Linked DNA regions of Saccharomyces cerevisiae S288C. The gene in region 2 interacts genetically with the main gene of each other region. Each region holds a gene or a part of one and is shown on either strand. Other genes may lie near its edges.

Region 1 (7,554 bases), on a different chromosome or scaffold from region 2:
GGAACTAATGTCACAATTGGCTATTCCAAGCGCCTTTCTCTTTGAAACTGCAATTCCTGAACTACACAGATTGTCCGATGATATGATTTACTTTTCCAACGAAAAGGACCACCATGATTCTGCATGGTATGCTAAGAGATTGGCTGTTTCGAGCACCTACATTGGTTCAAAGTTATTTATGGCTCAGGATAAATCCCACAATTACAAAGAAACGTTTACTTTTGCAAAGGATAAATTACATAGGGTCATGCGTTTGGGTGAGTACTATAACAATACTGAAGAGTTTGCCTGGTATACGTTAATGTCTACGGTAAATTTAATCAAATCTCAATTAGTTAGGGGTTAAGCAATCTTACATGTCAATTTGAAGTTTAGGACAGTGAAATGCGTAGGTATTTTGTTTGTAAGTTACATAATTGTATATAAAAGAAAATTTTATTTTGGGCAGATTTATTGGTACTGTGCGCTTTCTTGTCTTTCCGAGGACCTGTGAGTTTGTTTTACCTTCCTGGGCCAGTGGAAGCTGCTGTATTGTTCAGTTTAATTAGCTCGCTTCTCATCTTTTCTAGTTCTTCCTGCTTGTCCCTTATGTTCTTTTCGCATCTTGTAATTTCTGTTTCGATGAACTCTAATCTTTTGTCCACGTTGGTACGTGCCTCACTTTGTTCAACTGGTAAAAGGACATTGCCTGTCAATTTGTACACAGGTGTATCTTCTTCTAATTGGTCAAACTCTTCATTTACAATCTTGTTTTCTTGTAATTGTGTCTCTAATTTTTGTCTGGCCACAATAAACTCTTCTAACTCATTTTGCAACTGTTGATATTTGGCACCTAATTCAGACATTTTTGCTTTTGTTCCTCCACTCAAATGTAGTCTTTTTCAATTCTGAAGTGGGATTATTTATAGATGACGTTTGACTTGATGAAGTTTTATTGCCTTTACTTTTTTTTTTCTTTCGCATCAAAATTTCAGACTTCATTGAAATCAATTTAAGAAGTTGCGTGGCAATAGGTGGCAACAGGCGAAATAATAAGAAACAGCGACCAAGATATCATCGCACTACAGTAAAATTTTCATTTATAGCGATGCTTGTATGTTACAATAATCTTTTTTCCCCATCATATTTTGCTAGAGTAGAGTGGTTTGACTAACTTATGTTACTTGATTCTTTTTGAAGTTTAAACAATGGAATGACTTACCAGAACCAAAACATCTGCTAGATCTCCCAGAGATTTCAAAAAACCTGCAATCTTTAGAAGTCTGCCCGGTTCCAAAAGTTGAGTTTCCTCAGGACTTGGATGTTCCTCAATATTCGACAGCCGTCATTACTACTAAGATAATGAACCCATTATTCCCCAAAAATCTGCTTCAATTAACCTCTATTGGTGAAATTAAAACTACATTGACGGTGAAAAGTCCAAGTCTTCCCCAATCTTCAGGTAAACACTCGTGGAATTACGACGAAAACTTTCCAAACGAGGTTGATCCTGATCAAAAAAATGACACCGCCGATGAAACAGTATATGGTTTTTCTTTCCCGATTTATTCATTTGGAAAGACGTTATTATTTTCTATGGAGGAGAATTTCATTAGTATATCGCCGATTTTTGGTAACATGATAAGTAGATCTATCATATCACAGTTAGCCCAGTTCTCCCCTGATATAATAGTAATTGGCACCTCTGATAAAATCGCCAGCATGAAGGTAATGACGGAAAATGAATGTACACTACAACCACCAGAATTTATAACGGGATTCATAGGAAGTGTGCTAACACAATTGATTGTCGGTCCCAGTAAGGGACTGAAATTTAAATGTCTTGTAGCGCCTAGTGAGGGGCCTAATGGATTTGAGAAACTTTCGTTGTCTGACATGGGTTCTTTAGTTGATTTGTGCGGTCAATGGCTTGGTTTTGAGCCTTCAAGATATTCTGAAGAATGCTATCGCTTATGGAGGTGTGATAGCGCGGCAATTGGTGCACAATCAGGCCTATATATATGAATGGCGATCACAGAATGTCAGTAATGGCGAGTGAAAGAGGCATAAGAGGGTACTTAAGCTCAAAATAACATATGACTTTTTTATTTAATAATATTTCTAAATATACAATATACAGCTTCCAAATCCTAAAGAAGAATATTAGAAGGGAATAAAAGATAATATATATATATATGAAAAACTTTAAAGGGAAGAAAAGTACACAAAAAGATGGGATATACTTTATTTCGATTCATTGTTCCTTTTAATCCTTACTTTTCTTCTTTTTATCCTTCTTTTCCTTTTTATCTTTCTTTTCCTTTTTGTCCTTCTTTTCCTTCTTTTCTTTCTTTTCCTTCTTCGATTTTTTCTCTTTCTTTTCCTTCTTTTCTTCATCATCATCTTCTAATTTTCTCTTCTTTGAGGATTCCTTTTCCTTGGTTTCTTCCACTTCTGCAGCTGGTTTATCTTTGTTATAAAGTTCCATGGCTTCTTGAATGGCTAATTCATTCTTCAAAGTTGGCTTACCAGTGTTGTAGAATTCTAATCTTTGCTCAACTTGTTTCTTTAGTACGGAACCAAAAACATTAGATGGTTCCTCAGAGTAATTGTCAATTCTAGAGGCCATAGAACATTTGTTAGCCAAGTATCTAGAAATACGACCCTTGTTCTTGGCAGAGGCCTTAGAAATAAAACCACTGTGGTAAATCAAACCGTATTTTGGAGTGTTACCTTTAGTTTTTAAAGCTCTGAACAAAGCCTTTTCAGCACCAAGAATTTGAACCGTTGAAGCTGCTTGCTTAGATAAATTAGTTAGGGAACCTGCGTGAGAAATTAATCTAGCACCAATCACTTCACCAATCAATTCTGATAAGTTTGGTGCAACAGTGTGCATTTTTTCGCATAAGTAATCGTATAATTGTCTTCTGTAATCAGCTAAGGAAGCGACTCTCTGAGCGAAAACACAAACATTTTCCATATCGGTTTCTGATATATCTTGTCCCATGGAGATACGGGCATTGTCAATGACTCTTTGTGCAATTCCCGAATCCTCATTCAAAAGAGCAGCCAAATCATGTAAGGAGTCATCGTTTAATGAAGCTTTGTCCTTGATAAAAAGAACCAACTTGGCAAAAGTGTAGTTGTCTGGTACCAATTTAGCCAGTTCGGGGAAATGCCAGCCATACCACTCTTTAACTCTCATAGCAAAAGTGTTGATATCTTTATCTAATTGATCTAATAAAGCAATAGCTTGAATGATGTGATTGTCGTTCTTTTGAACAGAGAACTTCACTTTAGCTCTGGAGTAAGCGTGACCTAAACCTAATTGGGCTCTTTCTAAGTCACCAGATTGTAGACCTTTGAATAATTTTTCGCCATGTAATCTGACACCACGAATCAAATCCTGAGCAAGTTCATTTGAAATACAATCAACATATGGAAATTCTTCCTTAATAGAAGGACCTAAGTTTTTATCGGAAATAGCCAAAGTAATGTTCTTCTTTTTCGAGGAAGCCTTTGGTAAGTTTAAATCCAAGATAGCTTTCAAACTCTCAGAGACTAAACCTTCTGATATGTCGTTAGCATTTTCAAGGGCTTCAGCAGCACCTTTGAATGGCGCGAAAGATACAAGTTCGATTAACTTTGTAAAAGCACCAAAATCATTGATTTGCTCTTGAACTTCTTTTAATCTTGAACCAATGTCATCTTGTTGCAACTTAACCTTGAAAACTGCGTAACCAGTAGGTTCTTCAAACAGTAGGTATTCAATAGGAGCCATCTTTCACTAAATACTGTTCTGCACGCTTCTTCTCCTAGAAATATACCTTCCAAAACACTTTTAATAACTACTTAAAAAACTGTAGACACTACGCAATTGCACAAAATTTTTCATTTCCCATCTCATCACTCAAAAAAATTTCACTTTGAAAAAAAAAAAAAAAGAAAATTTTCACATCGCATTCTACGAGCGTATATATGCCGGGTGATATAAAAAAGTTACACAACTGTAATTCACCACATTGTCATCATATGCTAAATTATACCGTAACAGCACATATTAATGTATTATATTGTTTTTTTCTGAGGCTCCTCTTACACTAGTATACAGTATTATCTTCTATAGATTTTTTATTTGTACTTGCAATGTACTCTGCTTTAATATTTTTCATATCCAGATTATGCCATGTCATCATGCTCATCTCCACCTTCTCTTTCTTCTTCATCTTCACCTTGATCATCAATGGTTATAACAGTATCTGGGTTATCGTTACTGGTGTATTTTCTGGCGATTCTTGAACTTTTTCCTATTTTTTGGGCTTCTTCTTTTGCTCTTGCTTGAACATTCTCTAGTTCACTTTTAAAGCTCTTACGTACAGATCTATTGGTAAAAACGTCCCATAGTTTCAAAACTTTATTGACACCACCAATGACCATGGTACCCGCTACCTCGATGTCTGGAGCGAATGACGATGTCAATACATTTCCGACATCGAAATCACGAGACAGAACCATGCTTGGGCCCTTAGTGTTCGTAGCATCATCCAAGGGGAATTTCCATAATTTGACAGTCTTTTCACCCATGGCCCCTGTACTCATCATACCAGGGATGAATTTGTTTGAACATAATGTGGAGATACCAGCATCGTGTGCCTTCAATGTCCAAACTGGTTTACGGTTTTCATTGTTTCTAATATCGAAAGAATACACATTACCAGAATCAGTACCACATAATATTATATTTTCACTGGCAAATGTAACAGTTTCTATTTCCTCACCTGCCATGGCAGACCAGTATTTACTCATTTGACTTTCGTCAGAAATTCTAACATCTGTTAAAGCTACTCGAGAATCATAACCACCGGTCAAAAGAATGGAACCATTCAACATGTGCCATTCAGATGATGAAACATTTTTGTTTGAATGAATGGAAGCTAAGGAGCGGGCTGCGTTACCTGAGTTCAAATCCCATAGTTTTACGGTATGATCTGCAGAGGTGGATGCTAAAACGGAACGGAAATATTTGTTGTGTGCCATGGATAAAACAGCATCGGTATGATGAGTAGTAATGTGTCCAGTCTTAGACTTCTTCTTCTTCTTTTTGCTTTTCAAAGACACCATTGAATTATCAAGAGGTTCACCCAGAATCATATCGGGAAAGGCCTTGTCAACACAGTCCAAGTTCCAAATTTCAATTTGTGGATCAAACGTACCAATGGCAGCATAATTGGCTGCTTCTTCGGAATTGGATCCAACCTTGTAGTCAAGCCACTCAACACATAGTGGAAAAGCAGGCAACATTAAATCATGGTGAACGTAAAGTGCAGGGTCACGAACCAATCCACGAGCAACATCTGGGTCAGCTTCATCACCTTCTTCAACGGGAATATCGCTACTGTGGAACCCAGCACCGTCATCGTAAACGTAGATATCCAAATACGAAACGTCATCTTCTGTTCTCGCAGCAAGAACTAAATTATCGGATGGGTAAACTTGTAACTCCTGCTTCTCCTCTTGACTATCCTCTTGATTAGGCAATGAAATATATGGATCTTCACCTTTTTCACCCTCATGGAATTTAACATCGCTATCATTACTTAAACCCGGGAACATGGAAACGTCTTTACCACCCTCATTATCTGCAATTTCCTCATCGTCATATTCTTCCAGGTTATATTCTTTCAAATCATCATCTATATCCAACTGATCCTTCAACTTATTAGAACTACCTGTTGCGGCGTCATCTTCAACACCTGATTCGCCTTCTGCTTCTTCCAAAGTAGCTTTAGCATCATCCAAATTCAACTGTGCTAATTGGTTAATTCTTTCCACTTCCTCATCATCCAGAACATACTTTTCAGGAAATTCCGAGGAAAACCCTCTTGGAACCCAATTAGTAGCAGAAATCATTAGTTATTTTGTTTTTTTTATTCGTCTTCTAAGTTTCCAAATAAGGAAGGCGTAATAGACTCAACTGAGGGTACACTTGCTATCGTTTACAAATTAAAACTCTTTGCTTCTTTCAAACTCATCTCAGCTCATCGAGACAAATTTTTCACTTCTTTTTTTCGAGGGCGAGAAAATTTATTACCCGACTGGATATAATATATATAGAATAATACATATGATCAACTCAAGGTAGGGCCTATGGAAAAGTTTTACAACGGACAAGGCAATTAAATTGAATTGCACGATTCTCTAATTTTTTATTCTTGCAGATTTGTTTCATGATAAATTCGCCAGTTAGAGTTCTTATTATGGGTGGGTAAGAATTCAGTTAACGTTTAAAATTCTCAATATTAATCGCAAAGTGGAAAGCAAAGCAAAGTCTCACTAGAAATTGCAGGCGGACTATGTATAATTACGTAATAGTAGTTCTTGCAACAGAGGATCCTTTCGACTCTTTTGAAAGGATACTGTCATAAAACAATAGGATAAAATAATTTCAGCCGTTGCTCATGATAAAAGTAATTCACTATAATTGAAGATGATATGTGTTGCACGCTTTTTAGAGAATGATCTGTACAATAGCTCTGGTTGTCATAGAGCTTCGGTAGTAAACGTATTTATAGAATGTCAGAAGAGGATAAAGCGAAAAAATTAGAGAATTTATTGAAGTTATTACAGTTGAATAATGACGATACTTCAAAATTCACTCAAGAACAGAAAAAAGCTATGAAAGACCACAAATTCTGGAGAACGCAACCGGTCAAAGATTTCGATGAAAAGGTGGTGGAAGAAGGCCCCATTGATAAGCCAAAGACACCGGAAGATATATCTGACAAGCCACTACCTTTATTGTCTAGCTTCGAATGGTGTAGTATTGATGTGGACAACAAAAAACAGCTTGAAGATGTTTTCGTTCTACTAAATGAAAACTACGTGGAAGACCGCGATGCAGGCTTCAGATTTAACTATACCAAAGAATTCTTCAATTGGGCTTTAAAGAGTCCAGGTTGGAAGAAGGATTGGCATATTGGTGTTCGCGTTAAAGAAACACAGAAATTAGTTGCCTTTATCTCAGCCATACCAGTAACACTTGGTGTTAGAGGTAAACAAGTGCCTAGTGTAGAAATCAATTTCTTGTGCGTTCACAAACAGCTAAGATCGAAGAGATTAACACCTGTTCTAATTAAAGAAATTACGAGACGAGTGAACAAATGTGACATCTGGCATGCATTGTACACGGCAGGTATTGTTTTGCCAGCACCTGTGAGTACGTGTCGTTATACTCATCGTCCCTTGAATTGGAAGAAACTTTATGAAGTAGATTTCACAGGGTTACCAGATGGGCACACAGAGGAGGATATGATTGCTGAGAATGCGTTACCGGCCAAAACAAAGACAGCGGGATTGAGAAAATTAAAGAAGGAAGATATTGACCAAGTTTTTGAGTTGTTCAAAAGATATCAATCCAGGTTCGAACTAATTCAAATTTTCACAAAAGAAGAATTCGAACATAATTTCATTGGTGAAGAATCGTTACCATTGGATAAACAAGTAATTTTCTCATATGTAGTCGAACAGCCCGATGGAAAAATTACAGACTTCTTCTCATTTTACTCATTGCCATTC
Region 2 (9,641 bases):
GTATATATATGTTGAAGTGTGTACACACGTACACGCACAAGCTACAGACGCCACGCGGCCCGGCATTCATATATGTACATACATTTATGCACATATATATATATATATATATGTATATGTAAATGTATATATACAGCTTGTGATTTCGCGCGCCGAATGGGCTGAAAAGCACAGTATAGTGGAGAAGAAGAGAGAGGAGAAGGGGAGAGGGGCAATAGCAATGGATGTGGTAGAATACAGGGAAGGCCAAGCTGTTGTTCAATGGATGCGGTTCGAGGCCCAGCGCAAGGGGGGCGCTTCGAAGCATAGAACATTATCCGCGGAAACGGGTATTAGGGGTGAGGGTGAATAAGGAAAGTCAGGGAAATCGGGCCAGAGTAACACCCATTCATAGCACTCGTACAAGGTGCTTTTAACTTGCCTGCATGTGTGGAGTCACAAATTAGGGGACTCAGGCACAGAAGCAAGGGTCCTTTTTTGGTTCCCTGTTTCCTCCTGCGCATTTCGTATTTTTTCTCATCTCTTGGCTCTGGATCCGTTATCTGTTCTGTTACACAAGAAATCGTACATTTACAATATAGTGATAATCGTGGACTAGAGCAAGATTTCAAATAAGTAACAGCAGCAAAATGGCAAGACAAAAGATGTTTTATAACAAATTACTCGGCATGCTCAGCGTAGGATTCGGGTTTGCTTGGGCGCTCGAGAACATTACTATATACGAATTTGACTTTGGCAAGGGCATTCTCGATCAAAGCTACGGCGGTGTATTTTCAAACAACGGCCCTTCGCAAGTGCAGCTGCGGGATGCAGTCTTGATGAATGGGACAGTGGTATACGATTCAAACGGCGCTTGGGACAGTAGTGCGCTGGAGGAATGGCTCCAGGGACAGAAAAAAGTTTCCATCGAAAAAATATTTGAAAATATTGGGCCCAGCGCCGTGTATCCGTCTATTTCGCCTGGGGTCGTGATTGCGTCACCATCGCAAACGCATCCAGACTACTTCTACCAATGGATAAGGGACAGCGCGTTGACGATAAACAGTATTGTCTCTCATTCTGCGGGCCCGGCAATAGAGACGTTATTGCAGTACCTGAACGTTTCATTCCACTTGCAAAGAAGCAACAACACATTGGGCGCTGGCATTGGTTACACTAACGATACAGTGGCTTTGGGAGACCCTAAGTGGAACGTCGACAACACGGCTTTCACGGAAGATTGGGGTCGTCCTCAAAACGATGGGCCTGCTCTTCGAAGCATTGCCATCTTAAAAATCATCGACTACATCAAGCAATCTGGCACTGATCTGGGGGCCAAGTACCCATTCCAGTCCACCGCAGATATCTTTGATGATATTGTACGTTGGGACCTGAGGTTCATTATTGACCACTGGAATTCTTCCGGATTTGATCTATGGGAGGAAGTCAATGGCATGCATTTCTTTACTTTACTGGTACAACTGTCTGCAGTGGACAAGTCGCTGTCGTATTTTAACGCCTCAGAACGGTCGTCTCCCTTTGTTGAAGAATTGCGTCAGACACGCCGGGACATCTCCAAGTTTTTAGTGGACCCTGCGAATGGGTTTATCAACGGCAAGTACAATTATATTGTTGGGACACCCATGATTGCCGACACATTGAGATCCGGACTGGACATATCCACTTTATTAGCTGCGAACACCGTCCACGATGCGCCATCTGCTTCCCATCTTCCGTTCGATATCAATGACCCTGCCGTCCTGAACACGTTGCACCATTTGATGTTGCACATGCGTTCGATATACCCCATCAACGATAGCTCCAAAAATGCAACGGGTATTGCCCTGGGCCGGTATCCTGAGGACGTATATGATGGATATGGCTTTGGCGAGGGAAATCCCTGGGTCCTGGCCACGTGTACCGCTTCAACAACGCTTTATCAGCTCATTTACAGACACATCTCTGAGCAGCATGACTTGGTTGTCCCAATGAACAACGATTGTTCGAACGCATTTTGGAGCGAGCTGGTATTCTCCAACCTCACGACTTTGGGAAATGACGAAGGCTATTTGATTTTGGAGTTCAATACACCTGCCTTCAATCAAACCATACAAAAAATCTTCCAACTAGCTGATTCATTCTTGGTCAAGCTGAAAGCTCACGTGGGAACAGACGGGGAACTAAGTGAACAATTTAACAAATACACAGGGTTTATGCAGGGTGCCCAACACCTTACCTGGTCCTATACTTCATTCTGGGATGCCTATCAAATAAGACAAGAAGTTTTACAGAGTTTGTAGACAAAAAAAAAAATAAAAGGAAAGCGAGAAGTATACACAAGTGTATTTCCTAGATATTTACATCAAATATATATATATACTTATTTACAAAACTCTGATATTATAAATTGATTAGATACTATGTCGGAACGTCCAGCCCAACCACGTTTGCAGTTCTTTTCACTTTCTCATCCTGTGTCAACTTGTTGCCAGGATTGTATCTGTCGACCAGCTCCTCGTATTCTCTTTGGTTGTCCAAGAACTTGATGATGTCCAAAGCGTGTTCGAATATCTCGTCAACGTTTTGTCCCTGGGCCACCTTTTTCTCCCACTTTATATCGTTTTGTAATATGGAACGTAATGACTTAGAGTCGGCTATAAACAAATTCAAAGATCTGTCGCTTACCGGATCTAGTTTTTTCCATTTCTCTAACTGTCTGTTGATGTTCTCATGCGAGTCTCTCTGATTTTGTTTCTTAGCATATTCCAACTTTGTTATCATTGCCTTTCGTAGATTGCCCCAATTGACTATCTTGCTTGGCCTTTCATATTTCAGAATGGCTCTTATGAGTCCTCTATATGTGCGTAATGTTCTTGGTCTATCCATTTCCCTGGCACTCTCTCTTTCTCTCTCTTTTCAGCTTTTTGTTATCCACTTATCGCTGCAAATGAAACTCTAGTGCAATTTGAGATATTCACTTTTTGCAAAGGCGAAGAGAAGGGGGTGGTTAAATCTACAATTTCATACATAAAACAGAGAAAATGATTATAAATTATAGGAAAGTAGGTAAGCCATGGCAGAGAAATCAATATTTAATGAGCCTGATGTGGATTTCCATTTGAAATTAAATCAACAATTATTTCATATTCCTTATGAACTACTGTCCAAACGTATCAAGCATACTCAAGCGGTAATTAATAAGGAAACCAAATCACTACATGAACACACGGCCGCATTAAATCAAATATTTGAACATAATGACGTTGAGCACGACGAGTTGGCACTAGCAAAAATAACTGAAATGATTAGGAAAGTTGACCATATAGAAAGATTTTTAAATACGCAAATCAAGTCCTACTGTCAGATTTTGAACAGAATTAAAAAAAGGCTGGAGTTTTTCCACGAACTGAAGGACATCAAGTCACAAAATTCAGGAACATCGCACAATGGAAATAATGAGGGTACCAGGACTAAATTGATACAGTGGTATCAGAGTTATACAAACATTTTAATTGGTGATTATCTGACGAGGAATAACCCGATTAAATACAACTCGGAGACAAAGGATCATTGGAACTCTGGCGTAGTGTTTTTGAAACAGAGCCAACTGGATGATCTCATTGATTATGATGTCCTCTTGGAGGCTAATAGAATTTCGACTTCGTTACTACATGAGCGTAATCTCTTACCCCTAATTTCATGGATAAACGAGAACAAAAAGACACTGACCAAAAAGTCCTCTATATTAGAGTTTCAAGCAAGATTGCAAGAATATATTGAACTACTAAAGGTGGATAACTATACCGACGCTATAGTATGTTTTCAAAGATTCCTTTTACCATTCGTTAAGAGCAACTTCACCGATTTAAAATTAGCATCTGGACTTCTGATTTTTATCAAATACTGTAATGATCAAAAGCCAACTTCTTCTACCAGCTCTGGATTCGATACTGAAGAGATTAAGTCTCAAAGTTTACCAATGAAGAAAGATCGAATATTTCAACATTTTTTTCACAAATCTTTACCTAGAATTACCTCCAAACCTGCGGTGAATACAACAGACTATGACAAGAGTTCCTTAATAAATTTACAAAGTGGAGATTTCGAAAGATATCTGAATTTATTAGATGATCAAAGATGGTCGGTATTAAATGATTTATTCTTGAGCGACTTTTATTCCATGTATGGCATATCACAAAATGACCCTTTATTGATATACCTGTCACTAGGTATATCGTCTTTGAAGACAAGAGATTGCCTGCACCCTTCTGACGATGAAAATGGAAATCAAGAGACGGAAACTGCCACAACAGCAGAGAAAGAAGTTGAAGATTTACAACTCTTTACGCTACATTCACTAAAAAGGAAAAATTGTCCCGTTTGCAGTGAGACTTTCAAACCAATAACACAGGCATTACCATTTGCTCATCACATTCAGTCTCAATTATTTGAAAATCCAATACTATTACCAAATGGAAATGTTTACGACAGTAAAAAATTGAAGAAATTGGCCAAAACATTGAAAAAGCAAAACTTAATTTCTTTAAATCCAGGTCAAATTATGGATCCAGTTGACATGAAAATATTTTGCGAATCAGATTCTATCAAAATGTACCCAACCTGAAATAGTTTCAAGCTATATGCATTTTTTTATATAAAGATTTGTCCAACTTTCACAACTATTTTACAGATACTTACGCTATATAAGAATTAGGGAAAATGAAAGTTCTTTCATCAACATGGCGACATTCTTCCTTCTGTACTTAGTCTGAATCAGAATCTGTGTCTTTTTTGCTTTTACGGTTATGTTTTGAACTATTCGAGACATATTTACTAAAGATGTAGAACCTAGCATCACGTTCTTTCGCAGGTTTTGTAGTATCTTGTTCGCTATTCGTTCTCCGGTGATGATATCCTGGAAAATTTTCCCATTGGAATTTGCTCGATCTGCTCAGAGTTAGTCCATTTTTTTTGGCTAAAAGTTTGATTTGCCATGAATCATAGGGCTCTCCATCGAAAAGGGACAGTATGATGTTACCATAACCTTCGGCGGTCAATTTTTTAGCCTGGGGAGTATCCTCATTAAGATCATAGCCTTGCGTATAACGAAGAGTATCATTTTGAATTTTCGTGTTTATAAGATTAAATAATTGTAAGGAATTTTGGAAAAAGTTAAAAATTAAGTCCTGATGCTCTCTAATATTTCTTTCTTGATCCTTAATACCTTTTCCATTATGGGGAAAATTGAAAACTATATTTTGTAAAGGTTTGTTACCCCAACGATGATCGCTAAGCCTGTTGATTATTTTAAACCAAGTATTATTTTTGGAAATTTTAAAGCTCTTTACGAGCTTCGTAACGTCAATCTGGAAAAATATCGGAATATTTAGATCTTTTAAGTACTGGTAATTTTCCTCAAAAGTATGCGGATATTTCAATTTCAGCTCATTCACAGAATTATCGTAACTTGTTATGATTAAATTGTCACTTTCAATATAGTTTTGTTCAACAATGGATCTGGCAAAAGAAAAATCTCCTTCACCACATAGCATCAAAGTTTCATCCTTCTCAAAGGGCATAACCTTCCCTTGATTAAGTTTTTGGAATTCTTGGTTTCTCTTCACGGTTTTGTTATTAGCGCTCGAATTTTTCTTTCTTAGTTCATGTTTTTGCTTACTTTCAATATTCCTCACTAATTTCACTTTGGCCTTGTGCCTTAATAATGCACCTTTTAGGCCTTTACTCCCAATCTTACCCTTCAATTTCCTGGCCATTGATAATTTTAGGTTATGATTGGTGTTAATCTATGATTTTAACGTTACTAAACGTTGTCAGGCTCCAATGAATTTAAGTAATGGAAGGTTTTCTTTTAAGCTCATCGCATCGCCAATTCTTTTCTTTTTTTTTTTTTTTTTCCGAATAATTTACATTCTTTCTACAGGAGAAAAATATGGGAGCCAGCTTGAAATACTAAAATCATTAATAATACTGATGTACATGATCCAATAACAAGATCAACTACGACTTTTGTTATTACTGATTCAGAAGGAAAAAAAAATTGACTTCCAAGAAGTCATAAAAATAAGTGGTCTCTAGCGGGATCGAACCGCTGATCCCCGCGTTATTAGCACGGTGCCTTAACCAACTGGGCCAAGAGACCAGGAATTTGTTGAAGTATTTCATGTAAATTTAATATTAGTACTGATAGAGATTTCCGATATATATGATCGCTCTCAATTATTTTATATCAAGTAAATGTCAATGTCGTTAGTTTGCACTAGCTGTTACTATTTATTCTTAGTAAAGGTTTTTAAAAAAAACTGTAATTATAACCAGGCAGGCGTATGCAGAGCGAAGGTCTTGGAAAAAGAAAAATATAGAACAGTACATTTAGGAAACGCTAAAAAAGTCACCAAGCAGGCAGGTCACAGGCTCCACTTGAACATAAGTTAGTTCGCTAATACAGGTTGAATTTCCATTGTGGGATAGTTTATTATCTTCAGCGAAAAAAATCTTTTTTGATTGAAGTGTTGATCAAGATTATTTGTAACCTCCTATCTTTAGTTGAACTGATCCAAAAACAATGAATACTCCACAGATTAGTCTGTATGAACCCGGGACAATATTAACTGTGGGATCTCATCATGCTAAGATTATCAAATACCTTACGAGTGGTGGATTCGCACAAGTATATACTGCCGAAATTTCCCCTCCTGACCCATATAGCAATGCTAACATAGCATGCTTGAAAAGAGTCATTGTCCCCCATAAACAGGGTTTAAATACCTTGAGAGCTGAAGTGGATGCTATGAAACTCCTTAGAAATAATAAGCATGTTGTTTCTTACATAGATTCACATGCTGCAAGGTCTGTAAATGGTATAGCATATGAGGTGTTTGTGTTAATGGAATTTTGTGAACGTGGAGGTCTTATAGATTTTATGAACACCAGATTACAAAATAGATTACAAGAATCTGAAATATTAGAAATTATGAGTCAAACCGTCCAAGGTATAACTGCAATGCACGCTCTGCAGCCGCCATTGATTCATAGAGATATTAAGATTGAGAATGTACTTATTTCTCATGATGGCTTGTATAAAGTTTGTGATTTTGGTTCCGTTTCCGGTGTGATAAGGCCACCTAGAAATACTCAAGAGTTTAATTATGTTCAACACGACATCCTAACAAATACTACAGCTCAGTATAGATCACCTGAAATGATTGACCTGTACAGAGGGTTACCTATCGACGAAAAATCTGATATTTGGGCTCTTGGTGTCTTTCTTTACAAAATATGTTACTATACTACGCCGTTTGAAAAAAGTGGTGAAGCCGGTATACTACATGCAAGGTATCAATATCCATCCTTTCCGCAGTATAGTGACAGGTTGAAAAATTTGATACGTCTTATGTTAATGGAAGCACCATCTCAGAGGCCAAATATTTGTCAAGTTTTAGAGGAGGTTTCCAGGTTACAGAATAAGCCTTGCCCGATTAGAAATTTTTACTTGTTAAGAGCAATGAATCAGAATGCGAATACCCAATTGGCCGGTGAACCGTCTTCGACAACTTATGTTCCAACACAGAAATTTATTCCCGTACAAAGCCTTCAGAGCATCAACCAGCCACCAAATATGATGCCTGTAACTCACGTCAGTACTACTCCTAATTTGGGTACTTTCCCTATATCTATTAATGATAATAACAAGACAGAAGTAACGGCGCATGCTGGCTTACAGGTTGGAAGCCATTCAAATTTGACTAGTCCCTTAATGAAAACAAAATCCGTTCCACTTTCTGATGAATTTGCATCACTATATTATAAAGAGCTACACCCTTTTCAAAAGTCTCAGACTTTCAAATCAGTAGAAAGTTTCCAATCCCCACAAAGGAAGTCTATGCCTCCATTATCGCTTACTCCTGTTAATAATGACATTTTTGATAGAGTTTCGGCAATAAATCGTCCAAATAACTACGTTGATTCTGAGACGCAAACTATAGATAACATGGCTGTGCCAAACTTAAAACTATCTCCCACCATTACAAGCAAATCACTAAGCTCCACAAAAGAAATTGCTGCTCCAGATAATATAAATGGAAGCAAGATTGTGCGTTCACTAAGCTCTAAGTTAAAAAAGGTTATTACTGGTGAATCTCGCGGCAATTCTCCGATTAAATCAAGGCAAAATACTGGTGATAGTATCAGATCAGCATTTGGTAAGCTTCGTCATGGGTTTACAGGAAACTCAGTGAACAATAGCAGGTCTGCTTCCTTTGATAATAACAATGTCAACGGCAATGGTAACAATACAAACAGGCGATTAGTTTCGTCTTCAACCTCCTCCTTTCCTAAATTTAATTCTGATACCAAAAGAAAAGAGGAATCAGACAAGAATCAGAGACTGGAAAAACGTCGCAGTATGCCTCCTTCAATTTTATCAGATTTTGACCAGCATGAGAGGAATAACTCGAGAACTGGATCAAGGGACTATTACAGGTCTCATTCTCCAGTGAAGAAAACTCAAGCATCAGCTAAAACGACATCAAAGCCTACTTTGATACCAGATAATGGCAACGTTAATATAAATCAAGAAAAGAAGGAATCAATTCAAAGAAGAGTGCATAACTTACTAAAGAGTTCTGATGATCCGGTAACGTATAAATCCGCATCCGGGTATGGTAAATATACAGATATTGGTACAGAAACTTCCAATCGACATTCAAGTGTAAGAATAACACCAATCACAGAAGAAAAGTTTAAGAAAACCCTTAAGGATGGTGTTTTGGACATCAAAACGAAAAGCAACGGTAAAGATAAATCAAGACCACCACGTCCACCACCAAAACCACTACATTTAAGGACAGAAATTCAGAAGATAAGAAACTTTAGTCGTTTACAATCAAAGAAACTGCCGATTGAAAGAATTTCCAGCGAAGCCACAGAAACTATTGTTGATGTTAACGTAGATGATTTAGAAGCCGATTTTAGAAAAAGGTTTCCCAGCAAAGTTTAAAACTTGCTCTCACACATAATAGACTATGTAATATTAAAAGTCATACAAAATGTACAAATTTTCTTTCGTCAATCATTTGAAATTTTTTGAAATATATCTTGTCACTCATTCATTTATTTATTCGTTTCTATTTTCCTATTATATGCTCTATAATCTCGACAAAACGTCGTCAACGACTTGTTGAGTAGAAGCCTTACCACCTAAATCTGGTGTCTTGATAGAACCCTCTCTTAAGTTAGCATCAACAGCCTTGTAGATATCTTGGGCAGCTTCGTTGTGGCCCAAGAATTCCAACATCAAAGCAGTAGATCTTATAGTGGCGATTGGGTTAGCAATACCTTTACCAGCAATATCTGGTGCAGAACCATGGCATGGTTCACCAATGACAATTTCTGGACCTACGTTGGCGCTTGGAACAACACCTAATGAACCGACTAAAGCAGCAGCACCGTCAGATAATATATCCCCGTATAGGTTTGGTGCCACTATCACATCAAAACATTGTGGTTCTCTGAACAGCCTATAAACCATGGAATCCACAATTTGTTCGTTATATTTGATTTGACCGTACTTGTCCTTGTTAGATTCGTAGACTTCCTTACAGATTTCTCTGAATAGACCATCACTTTGAGATAGAACATTTGAT
Region 3 (8,908 bases), on a different chromosome or scaffold from region 2:
GTATACAAAAACTCAGTGAAACAACAGATCGATTCCGCAGACTTACTAGTGGCAAATTTGGTAAATGAGAATTTCGTACTGTCGGAGAAGCTGGATACAAAAGCAACCGAGATCAAACAGCTGCAGAAGCAGATAGACTCGCTAAACGCACAAGTCAAGGAGCTGAAGACTCAGACTTCCCAACAGGCAGAAAATTCAGAAGTCATAAAGGACCTTTACGAGTACCTCTGTAACGTACGTGTACATAAAAGCTACGAGGATGATTCTGGGTTGTGGTTCGACATCTCGCAGGGCACCCACTCAGGGGGATCTTCCGATGATTATTCGATAATGGACTATAAACTCGGATTTGTCAAGGGCCAGGCCCAAGTCACAGAAGTCATATATGCGCCCGTTCTTAAACAGCGATCCACCGAGGAACTATACTCGCTACAGTCGAAACTACCGGAATACCTCTTCGAAACGTTGAGTTTCCCCCTCTCGTCGCTAAACCAATTCTATAACAAAATCGCTAAAAGCCTGAATAAGAAAAGAGAGAAAAAAGATGAAACCGAGTAAGCTGCTACATAATGTCTATATATCTACACATAAAATTCCGATTATTCCTTTGCATACCTGATTTGCCCCTCAGAATCCACAACCAGACTTTTCAAGAAGGTCTTTTTTGCCCCTTTATCCTTCATGGTTTTCAAAATTTTGTACAACGACTTGCCCTTGTGAAGCTCGATACCGTTCGAGGTCTTTTCCACTTTCTCTGCCTTCTTGATCACAGGCTTCTCCACTTTCTTTGCAGGAGTTGCCACTGGCTGGTGCTGGTGCTGCTTCTGCTGCTGCTTCTGCTGCTGCTTCTGCTTCTGCTTCTTGTTGCCCTTGTACAACGCTTTCTGGTACTTCTCGTCCTCGCTGATGCAAGACGTGTGATTCTTGTAACTCACGCCATCTTCAAACGTCTTGGAGCAATCTATGCATGTATAGTACGCGTTAGGACATCTATAATAATGCTTTTCGGTATTCTTCTTGGGCACAGTATCATTACACACCTCACAGTTGAACGTAACCATCCTGTAATAACAAATATTTCTTGACTGAGACCGTTTGCTGTTGTATACAGAATACTCTTAGAGCTCATCGCAAGTTAAAAATTTTCAATTTTTTTTCACTTTTTCCCGTCAAGGCAAAAAGCAACCAAAAGAGAATGAACCTTTATTTTTGATTTATTTATTATGAGATGCTGCTAGTCCACTCATCTGCATCAATGTAGTAGTCACAAAGCTAATATTTAGACGTTACTTTGATATCTCTGTCCATGAGAGCACTTATTTTAGGAAGTTAAATGAGACAGTCAATAGTTCACAATATCCCGTCAGCAATGGAGGGAAAAGGCATTCCTTTTCCATAGGATTTTAATCGTTTTCAAGCATCATACGCCCTCGAGGAACTCTTGTTTTCGCTTTACTATGCAACCATTGATGTATTTCTGTATAAATGTGCGTCACGTGGCCTTGTGTCTCTTATTTCCACTTGTTTTTTCACAATGCGGAAAACCTCGATTAAAGTAGAAAAAAAGGATATAATAGGAGTATACCATATTGGATAGTTCAATCTATAAACAAACAATCGCATAACCGCACGTATATACACGCACACACCTATCAATCACAATGGCTTTGGAACCTATTGATTATACTACTCACTCGAGAGAGATCGACGCAGAGTACCTGAAGATTGTCAGAGGCTCCGATCCTGACACCACCTGGTTGATTATTTCACCCAATGCGAAAAAAGAATACGAACCTGAGTCTACCGGTTCCTCCTTTCACGATTTCTTGCAATTGTTTGATGAAACCAAGGTCCAGTACGGACTGGCACGTGTGTCCCCACCAGGGTCAGACGTTGAGAAGATTATTATCATTGGTTGGTGTCCTGATTCTGCGCCATTGAAGACAAGGGCCTCTTTCGCCGCCAATTTTGCTGCAGTTGCTAATAATCTGTTCAAGGGTTACCACGTTCAAGTTACCGCCAGAGACGAGGACGATCTTGACGAAAATGAACTGTTGATGAAAATCAGTAACGCGGCCGGTGCCCGTTATTCTATTCAGACTTCCTCCAAGCAACAGGGGAAGGCTTCCACTCCTCCCGTGAAGAAATCCTTCACACCTTCCAAGAGCCCTGCTCCAGTTTCTAAGAAGGAACCAGTCAAGACTCCTTCCCCAGCACCTGCTGCTAAGATTTCTTCCCGTGTTAACGACAACAATGACGACGACGATTGGAATGAGCCTGAATTAAAGGAACGCGACTTCGATCAGGCTCCCCTGAAACCAAATCAATCATCTTACAAACCAATTGGCAAAATCGACTTGCAAAAAGTGATTGCTGAAGAAAAGGCTAAGGAGGACCCACGTCTTGTTCAAAAGCCAACCGCTGCTGGTTCCAAGATTGATCCTAGTTCTGATATCGCTAATTTAAAGAACGAATCAAAATTAAAGAGGGACTCCGAGTTTAACTCCTTTTTGGGCACCACTAAACCCCCCTCCATGACGGAATCTTCATTAAAGAATGATGATGATAAAGTCATTAAGGGTTTTAGAAACGAGAAATCACCTGCTCAATTATGGGCCGAAAGAAAGGCAAAGCAAAACAGCGGCAACGCCGAAACTAAGGCTGAGGCACCAAAACCTGAAGTTCCAGAAGATGAGCCTGAAGGTGAACCTGACGTCAAAGATTTGAAATCAAAATTTGAAGGATTGGCCGCTTCAGAAAAAGAGGAGGAAGAAATGGAAAACAAATTTGCTCCTCCTCCAAAGAAATCAGAACCAACTATTATCTCACCAAAACCCTTCTCCAAGCCACAAGAACCTGTGAAAGCTGAAGAAGCCGAGCAGCCTAAGACTGATTACAAGAAGATCGGCAACCCATTACCCGGTATGCACATTGAAGCGGATAATGAGGAAGAACCAGAAGAGAATGATGATGACTGGGATGATGATGAAGACGAGGCTGCTCAACCTCCTTTGCCTTCGAGGAATGTTGCGTCAGGAGCACCAGTGCAAAAAGAAGAGCCTGAACAAGAAGAGATCGCCCCAAGCTTACCTTCTAGAAACTCGATCCCAGCTCCAAAACAAGAAGAAGCACCTGAACAAGCACCTGAAGAAGAAATTGAAGAAGAAGCTGAGGAAGCCGCTCCACAGCTGCCATCAAGAAGCTCTGCAGCTCCTCCTCCGCCTCCAAGACGAGCAACTCCAGAGAAAAAGCCAAAGGAAAATCCTTGGGCCACAGCAGAATATGATTACGATGCTGCAGAAGATAACGAACTGACCTTTGTGGAAAATGACAAGATTATCAATATTGAATTTGTCGACGATGACTGGTGGCTAGGGGAACTAGAGAAAGACGGCTCAAAAGGTCTCTTCCCCAGCAATTATGTGTCTTTGGGCAACTAGAATCACACGTCAGCGTCATGCTATTATATTATTCTTACGTAAAAAAATACTTACAGAGACGTTAAAGCTTTTGTATAGATACTTTCACGAGCCTTCCCTTTCAGTAAAATGAACAAATTATTTTGCCTTGTCCTTCTTTGTTTCAAGCGTTTATATGACTCCTCTACAGTATTATTTTTCAACAGACGGTGTGCCCGTACGGCGTTGTCAAAACCTCGAACATAAAACAACACTGAAACAAACTTATTGCACTCCTGCATCGCATACAGATCTGATACTTACTACAACCATAATGCTGTTTTAGAATCGCATCAGGTGTTTACCAGAAGTGTATGGTACATGGTGCTTTCCTTATGCTCACTATTTCGGATTTACTTCTAGTCTATGTATAGATTTGTTAGAGACCAGTTTTAAGCTACAATGGAACGTTAAGATTAAGAAATGCATGAAGAGTCTCCCAGTAGATATATAAAGCTGAATTAAATTCAGTACAATGGAAGTTTCCACGTCTTTCTGTATTTTCATACCTTTAATTATAGGAAAAGCACACTACAAAAATACGCTATCATCTACCGAATATAACTGCAATGAACTCATTTGCGTCATTAGGTCTGATATATTCAGTAGTAAACCTTTTAACTAGAGTAGAGGCTCAAATTGTGTTCTACCAGAATAGTAGTACTTCACTGCCTGTCCCTACTTTAGTATCCACCTCAATAGCAGATTTTCACGAGTCCTCATCAACTGGCGAAGTGCAGTATTCATCCTCTTATTCGTATGTGCAGCCCTCAATAGACTCCTTCACTTCATCTAGCTTCTTAACAAGTTTTGAAGCTCCTACCGAAACTTCTTCCAGCTATGCAGTTTCTTCCTCATTGATAACTTCTGATACTTTTTCTTCATACTCTGATATCTTCGATGAAGAAACAAGTTCATTAATATCAACCTCAGCTGCCTCATCGGAGAAAGCCTCGTCCACCCTTTCTTCAACTGCACAACCTCATAGGACATCTCACTCTTCCTCTTCATTCGAGCTACCAGTCACTGCTCCATCATCCTCTAGTTTACCGTCCTCAACTTCATTGACATTTACGTCAGTTAATCCATCTCAAAGTTGGACTTCATTTAACTCAGAAAAATCTAGCGCTCTTTCCTCAACCATAGATTTTACTTCTTCTGAGATTTCAGGTTCAACATCTCCAAAGAGCCTGGAAAGTTTCGATACCACCGGTACTATAACTTCATCTTATTCTCCTTCTCCTTCTTCAAAAAATTCTAACCAGACCTCACTACTCAGCCCATTGGAGCCTCTGTCCAGTTCTTCAGGAGATTTAATATTGAGTTCAACTATTCAAGCTACTACCAATGACCAAACTTCAAAAACTATTCCAACTCTTGTTGACGCCACATCGTCATTACCACCAACATTGAGGTCATCCAGTATGGCACCAACAAGTGGTTCTGATTCAATCTCACACAACTTTACGAGCCCCCCCTCTAAAACAAGTGGTAACTACGATGTTTTGACTTCAAACTCAATAGATCCTTCTCTATTTACAACTACGAGTGAATATTCATCTACACAATTGTCGAGTTTAAATCGGGCCTCAAAAAGTGAAACAGTTAATTTCACTGCTTCTATTGCTTCCACACCATTTGGTACAGATTCGGCTACTTCTCTAATAGACCCCATTAGTTCAGTGGGTTCTACAGCATCTAGCTTTGTGGGAATTTCAACCGCCAATTTTAGTACACAAGGGAACTCGAACTATGTTCCTGAATCAACTGCAAGTGGAAGTTCACAATACCAGGACTGGTCAAGCTCTTCTCTTCCGCTGTCACAAACCACTTGGGTTGTCATCAACACAACTAATACACAAGGGTCTGTAACGTCAACCACATCCCCGGCTTATGTTTCTACGGCCACCAAAACGGTTGACGGGGTGATCACCGAATATGTTACATGGTGTCCTCTAACACAAACCAAATCACAAGCAATTGGGGTCAGTTCGTCCATTTCTAGCGTTCCACAAGCCTCCTCATTTAGCGGTAGTTCTATTTTGAGCTCCAATTCCAGCACTCTTGCTGCCTCGAACAACGTTCCTGAATCAACTGCAAGCGGAAGTTCACAATACCAGGACTGGTCAAGCTCTTCTCTTCCGCTGTCACAAACCACTTGGGTTGTCATCAACACAACTAATACACAAGGGTCTGTAACGTCAACCACATCCCCGGCTTATGTTTCTACGGCCACCAAAACGGTTGACGGGGTGATCACCGAATATGTTACATGGTGTCCTCTAACACAAACCAAATCACAAGCAATTGGGATCAGTTCATCCACGATTAGCGCCACACAAACCTCTAAACCATCTTCAATATTAACATTGGGGATATCGACCTTACAATTGTCTGATGCCACATTTAAGGGGACTGAAACTATAAACACCCATCTCATGACCGAAAGTACTTCAATCACAGAGCCCACCTATTTTAGTGGCACATCGGATAGTTTTTATTTGTGCACCAGTGAAGTTAATCTTGCGTCTTCCTTATCTTCTTATCCAAATTTTTCATCTTCAGAAGGCTCTACGGCGACCATTACTAACTCTACCGTTACATTTGGATCGACCAGCAAGTATCCATCTACTAGTGTATCTAACCCAACAGAAGCCAGCCAACATGTGAGCTCTAGTGTGAACTCACTCACTGATTTTACTTCAAATTCAACCGAAACCATCGCAGTTATATCTAATATTCACAAAACTTCGTCAAATAAAGACTATTCATTGACGACTACGCAATTAAAGACCAGCGGAATGCAAACGCTTGTGCTTTCTACTGTCACAACAACGGTGAACGGTGCTGCTACGGAATACACAACGTGGTGCCCGGCATCAAGTATTGCTTATACGACATCCATATCATATAAAACATTAGTTTTGACCACTGAAGTCTGCTCTCATTCTGAGTGTACTCCAACGGTTATTACCAGTGTTACTGCAACAAGCTCTACAATCCCCCTTTTATCAACCTCTAGCTCTACGGTATTATCTTCTACAGTATCCGAAGGTGCAAAAAATCCCGCTGCTTCTGAAGTAACTATTAATACCCAAGTTTCTGCTACTTCCGAAGCTACTAGTACTAGCACTCAAGTGTCTGCTACTTCTGCGACGGCCACTGCTAGCGAGAGTTCAACCACATCCCAGGTTTCTACTGCTTCCGAAACTATTAGCACTCTCGGTACTCAAAACTTTACCACTACTGGAAGCTTACTTTTCCCGGCTTTGTCTACTGAAATGATAAATACTACTGTGGTTTCCCGAAAAACCCTAATTATTAGTACAGAGGTATGTTCCCATTCCAAATGTGTCCCAACAGTCATTACCGAGGTTGTTACTTCGAAAGGCACGCCTTCTAATGGACATTCTTCTCAAACTCTACAAACGGAGGCAGTAGAGGTGACATTGTCATCCCATCAAACCGTAACTATGAGTACCGAAGTATGTTCTAATTCGATTTGCACACCGACTGTTATTACATCTGTGCAAATGAGAAGTACTCCTTTTCCATACTTAACTTCTTCAACGTCAAGTTCCTCTTTAGCCTCCACCAAAAAAAGTTCCTTAGAAGCCTCCTCAGAAATGTCCACCTTTTCTGTCAGTACGCAAAGTTTGCCTTTGGCATTCACAAGTTCAGAAAAACGCTCCACCACATCTGTCTCTCAATGGTCAAATACCGTTTTAACTAATACAATAATGTCCTCTTCTTCTAATGTCATATCAACAAATGAAAAGCCCAGTAGTACTACCTCTCCATACAACTTCTCTTCGGGGTACTCTTTACCTTCTTCTTCTACACCTTCCCAATATTCACTATCTACAGCTACTACAACAATCAACGGAATCAAAACTGTGTACACAACTTGGTGTCCATTGGCAGAAAAATCTACTGTAGCTGCTTCTTCTCAATCTTCCCGCAGTGTTGACAGGTTTGTTTCGTCGTCAAAACCATCCTCATCTTTATCTCAGACCTCTATTCAATATACATTATCTACTGCTACCACCACCATAAGTGGTTTGAAGACTGTATACACGACTTGGTGTCCATTAACAAGTAAATCGACTTTAGGTGCTACTACTCAAACTTCCTCGACAGCCAAAGTTAGAATTACTTCCGCTTCATCTGCAACATCTACTTCTATTTCTTTGAGCACTTCAACAGAATCAGAATCTTCATCTGGATATTTGTCGAAAGGAGTATGCTCAGGTACTGAATGTACGCAAGATGTGCCAACACAATCATCCTCACCTGCTTCAACGTTAGCATATTCCCCCTCTGTTTCTACATCATCATCATCATCATTCTCAACAACAACTGCATCAACACTAACGTCAACACACACCTCTGTCCCGTTATTACCATCATCTAGCTCTATATCAGCATCTTCGCCATCATCAACTTCGTTGTTATCCACTTCTTTACCATCTCCCGCTTTTACGTCATCAACACTTCCAACAGCAACAGCAGTATCTTCCTCCACTTTCATAGCGTCTTCTCTACCATTGTCCTCTAAATCATCATTGTCGTTATCGCCAGTCTCGTCGTCTATTTTGATGTCTCAGTTTTCATCATCATCATCATCATCATCATCATTGGCATCGTTGCCATCTCTTTCTATATCACCAACTGTTGACACTGTTTCTGTTCTACAACCAACTACTTCCATCGCAACACTAACTTGCACAGACTCACAATGCCAACAGGAGGTATCCACTATCTGTAATGGATCCAACTGTGACGATGTGACTTCAACTGCCACTACTCCTCCATCTACGGTTACTGATACTATGACATGTACTGGATCTGAGTGCCAGAAAACCACATCTAGCAGCTGTGATGGTTACTCGTGTAAAGTATCCGAAACGTATAAATCAAGCGCTACAATATCTGCATGTAGTGGAGAAGGATGCCAAGCTTCCGCTACAAGTGAGCTAAATTCTCAATACGTCACGATGACGTCTGTCATTACCCCAAGTGCCATAACAACAACATCAGTGGAAGTGCATTCAACTGAATCCACTATATCAATTACTACAGTGAAGCCAGTTACATATACATCCAGTGATACTAATGGAGAACTGATAACCATAACAAGTTCCAGCCAAACTGTAATTCCATCAGTAACGACGATAATAACGAGAACAAAAGTGGCCATAACTTCAGCACCAAAGCCAACAACTACGACCTATGTCGAGCAACGACTTTCCTCCAGTGGGATTGCTACTTCTTTTGTTGCTGCTGCATCCTCAACTTGGATTACTACACCCATTGTCAGTACGTATGCTGGTTCGGCGTCAAAATTTCTCTGTAGTAAGTTCTTTATGATAATGGTAATGGTGATCAACTTCATTTAATTTCCCGTATATATTATATGTACGTATATATGCTATAAACAGACACTCTTT
Region 4 (2,465 bases), on a different chromosome or scaffold from region 2:
CCACATATCGCTGATGATATCCAATTTGAACTAAGACAAGTGGATCCGTACTACCGTCTAACATTGTCGCCAAGCGGAAACGATTCTGAAACTCAGTATTACACCACCGGTGAATTCATCCTTCCAGACCGCCATGGAGTGTTTACATTCCTCACTGACTATCGTAAGATTGGCCTGTCGTTCACTACTGACAAAGACGTTAAAGCTATCCGTCACCTTGCTAATGATGAATACCCAAGAAGTTGGGAAATCAGCAATTCTTGGGTTTATATTAGCGCCATTTGTGGCGTCATTGTTGCGTGGATATTTTTTGTTGTTTCTTTCGTTACGACTTCCTCTGTTGGCAAGAAACTTGAAACATTCAAAAAAACAAACTAATATATGTTTTCATATCCTTTATAATTCTTTATAAATGGCTCACATAAATACATAAGAGTACCTGATTGTGTTTATTTATATTTTTTGCCAAACTAAGTACTGCAATAGATTTTATATATGGTTTAGTTTTTAACGACTTGAATCTTATTGTCTTTTTTCCATTTTTCAAACTCTTTTGCAGTTTGTATTAAGGTTTCTTTCATTTTACTTATTGTACCTTCTATGTTTTCCTTCTTAGTTTCAAGAATAGGCAAACTCGTTTGAACATCACTTTCAACAAGTGCGCCACCTATCATCCTGTAACATTTTCTCGTCGGCTCAGCGTCTTTCAGTGTTTTTATGACTATAGTGTGTTCATCTTTGTCATGACCTAATTCTATGATTTTTGTTTGCAATTCTTCCAAAATTTGTTTGTATTCATTATATTTTGCTTGAAAGACTATACACAGAGAAAACACAAAGATTGTTAGTAAGATAAAATTGGCTACATGCATTTATTAAAACCCAGAGATCGAAATTTTGCATACCGTTGTTCCTTTGTTCCATAGCTGTAATATAGTTCTCCACTTCTCATGAATGAGTTTTAAAGATTAGTGAGTTTAGGTGATGAATTCTTTTTTTTTTTTTTTTCATTTACTTCCAGGCGGCAGCGTTCGCGATTTTATCTAAACTTACGTCAACACCACTAATATAGAGTTAAGGAACATACAAGTAGGATTTAAGGTTAGTTTATAATGTGTGTTCATTTACTTTTCTTTATCGCCCCCTTGTCATTTTGCCTGGGGTGAATTGATCCCAGCGAGTATATAAAGGCACCAAAAAAGACTAGGTAGACCCCGATGTAGCCAGTATATGACAAGTTATTATCGAAAAGTCGGACGCTCAGTAAAAGACTTATAAATTTTCTTACAAGTAATGTTATGGAAAGTGTCAGAGCGTTTGTTTTACTGGCGAGGATATTAACACCCTTGACGCAAAAATATTGTGTTAACACATTGAAAAGAAGGAGAGTTTCTTCTCGCGGGACTAGAATCTTCCCTCCAAAATTTGAACACAATATTCTTTCAGACTTTCTCATCACTCGATATTCGTGAATTAACTGCTTTCGACTAAATAGAAAGAGAGGTAATGATAAAAAATGACTGTAAAAGATATTCTCCTTCCAATGCTTTCCATATTTTTGATACGTACGTTCATTGTATGCTGAAAGTAAAGATGATGTGAATGATGAAAGTACTAGTATACAAATGCCAAAAATAAAAGTGAGATCTACAGATTGGTCACTTCCAATTTTCCACGCTTGCAGTTTCAAATCTTGGTACCGAAAATCAGCATCTTTGAATAATGAGGCAATTATAGCTCCAATGGTTAAAAATAGTGTTGATAAAATCTGAATCTTTGTATATTTCCTACCATTTAATAACCAGCATGTAAACATGGTTATTACGGTTCCGAAGCATCTGAAAACGATATGAATCGGAATGGATATGTTGTATTTAAATACGTTATTATTCGTCGTAGATGAAATATAAAATAAAACGACAGTAATGACATAAACGTGAAGTGGAGTTTTCAGAGGCTTGAAGTAAGGGAAAGGTTGATGAACATCCAGAAATTCGGGGAGTCCCTGACATGTAACAAATAAAAATTGACAAAAAGTAATGAGATTATTAATGCTGCCTGTTTCGTTGCTCATTAAGGTTTCAAATGTAATAACATTGGAGCAACAACCTCCGAACACTAGAGCGAATGCTTTTAGTGAGTTCCACATTTTTTAGATTCTCCCAATCCAATTACTTCCCTGCTTATTCTCAATTGAATTCTCTTCATTTTTTCTAACTGGAGTGCAAAGCACTGAATATTTTTACTTTGCGTCGGGAGCGATTGCTTCCTTAAAATATGACAATGAATATATAAAGGAAGAGTATGCGTAACCAAACCATAAGAAAGGCAGAGAGTGCCTAGCATGGTAGCAGACTTAACTAAAGGTATACTGAAATGGAAATCAAGAATAGAATTTGATGCCGTTGGAAGCAGTTCCTATTACGAAGAGTTAAAGGGCTTACCTCCCCTTGCATCCCATAAAA

The links.
Region 1: mutations in PRK1 (region 2) and YKE2 together harm fitness more than expected from each alone (negative genetic interaction), as found in Saccharomyces cerevisiae (3 studies listed by BioGRID, with this or other methods).
Region 3: mutations in PRK1 (region 2) and ABP1 together harm fitness more than expected from each alone (negative genetic interaction), as found in Saccharomyces cerevisiae (7 studies listed by BioGRID, with this or other methods).
Region 4: mutations in PRK1 (region 2) and GIM4 together harm fitness more than expected from each alone (negative genetic interaction), as found in Saccharomyces cerevisiae (5 studies listed by BioGRID, with this or other methods).

What each region holds. Positions count from the first base shown.
Region 1 is NC_001144.5:542,303-549,856, reverse strand, and holds YKE2 (tubulin-binding prefolding complex subunit YKE2), read right to left. Parts: upstream 846-7,554; coding exon 501-845; downstream 1-500. Other genes in the region: ubiquinone biosynthesis protein COQ9, read left to right, coding at 1-346; PBA1 (Pba1p), read left to right, coding at 1,088-1,093, 1,180-2,004; snoRNP complex protein NOP56, read right to left, coding at 2,246-3,760; rRNA-processing protein PWP1, read right to left, coding at 4,159-5,889; glycylpeptide N-tetradecanoyltransferase NMT1, read left to right, coding at 6,553-7,554. UniProt on the Saccharomyces cerevisiae protein: Binds specifically to cytosolic chaperonin (c-CPN) and transfers target proteins to it. Binds to nascent polypeptide chain and promotes folding in an environment in which there are many competing pathways for nonnative proteins.
Region 2 is NC_001141.2:177,375-187,015, forward strand, and holds PRK1 (serine/threonine protein kinase PRK1), read left to right. Parts: upstream 1-6,562; coding exon 6,563-8,995; downstream 8,996-9,641. Other genes in the region: SGA1 (glucan 1,4-alpha-glucosidase), read left to right, coding at 630-2,279; FMC1 (Fmc1p), read right to left, coding at 2,398-2,865; glucose-induced degradation complex subunit FYV10, read left to right, coding at 3,053-4,603; BMT5 (25S rRNA (uracil2634-N3)-methyltransferase), read right to left, coding at 4,743-5,753; LYS12 (homoisocitrate dehydrogenase), read right to left, coding at 9,143-9,641. UniProt on the Saccharomyces cerevisiae protein: Protein kinase involved in the regulation of actin cytoskeleton organization and endocytosis. Phosphorylates PAN1 which disrupts the interaction between PAN1 and END3, and between PAN1 and SLA1. Phosphorylates SCD5.
Region 3 is NC_001135.5:263,407-272,314, forward strand, and holds ABP1 (Abp1p), read left to right. Parts: upstream 1-1,661; coding exon 1,662-3,440; downstream 3,441-8,908. Other genes in the region: CSM1 (Csm1p), read left to right, coding at 1-558; YCR087C-A (uncharacterized protein), read right to left, coding at 600-1,061; FIG2 (Fig2p), read left to right, coding at 4,028-8,857. UniProt on the Saccharomyces cerevisiae protein: Regulates ARP2/3 complex-mediated actin assembly. Recruits ARP2/3 complex to sides of preexisting actin filaments, which may promote nucleation or stabilization of filament branches. Binds to actin filaments, but not actin monomers.
Region 4 is NC_001137.3:146,635-149,099, reverse strand, and holds GIM4 (tubulin-binding prefolding complex subunit GIM4), read right to left. Parts: upstream 925-2,465; coding exon 906-924; intron 818-905; coding exon 501-817; downstream 1-500. Other genes in the region: WBP1 (dolichyl-diphosphooligosaccharide-protein glycotransferase), read left to right, coding at 1-378; YEA4 (Yea4p), read right to left, coding at 1,121-2,149; VAB2 (Vab2p), read left to right, coding at 2,345-2,465. UniProt on the Saccharomyces cerevisiae protein: Binds specifically to cytosolic chaperonin (c-CPN) and transfers target proteins to it. Binds to nascent polypeptide chain and promotes folding in an environment in which there are many competing pathways for nonnative proteins.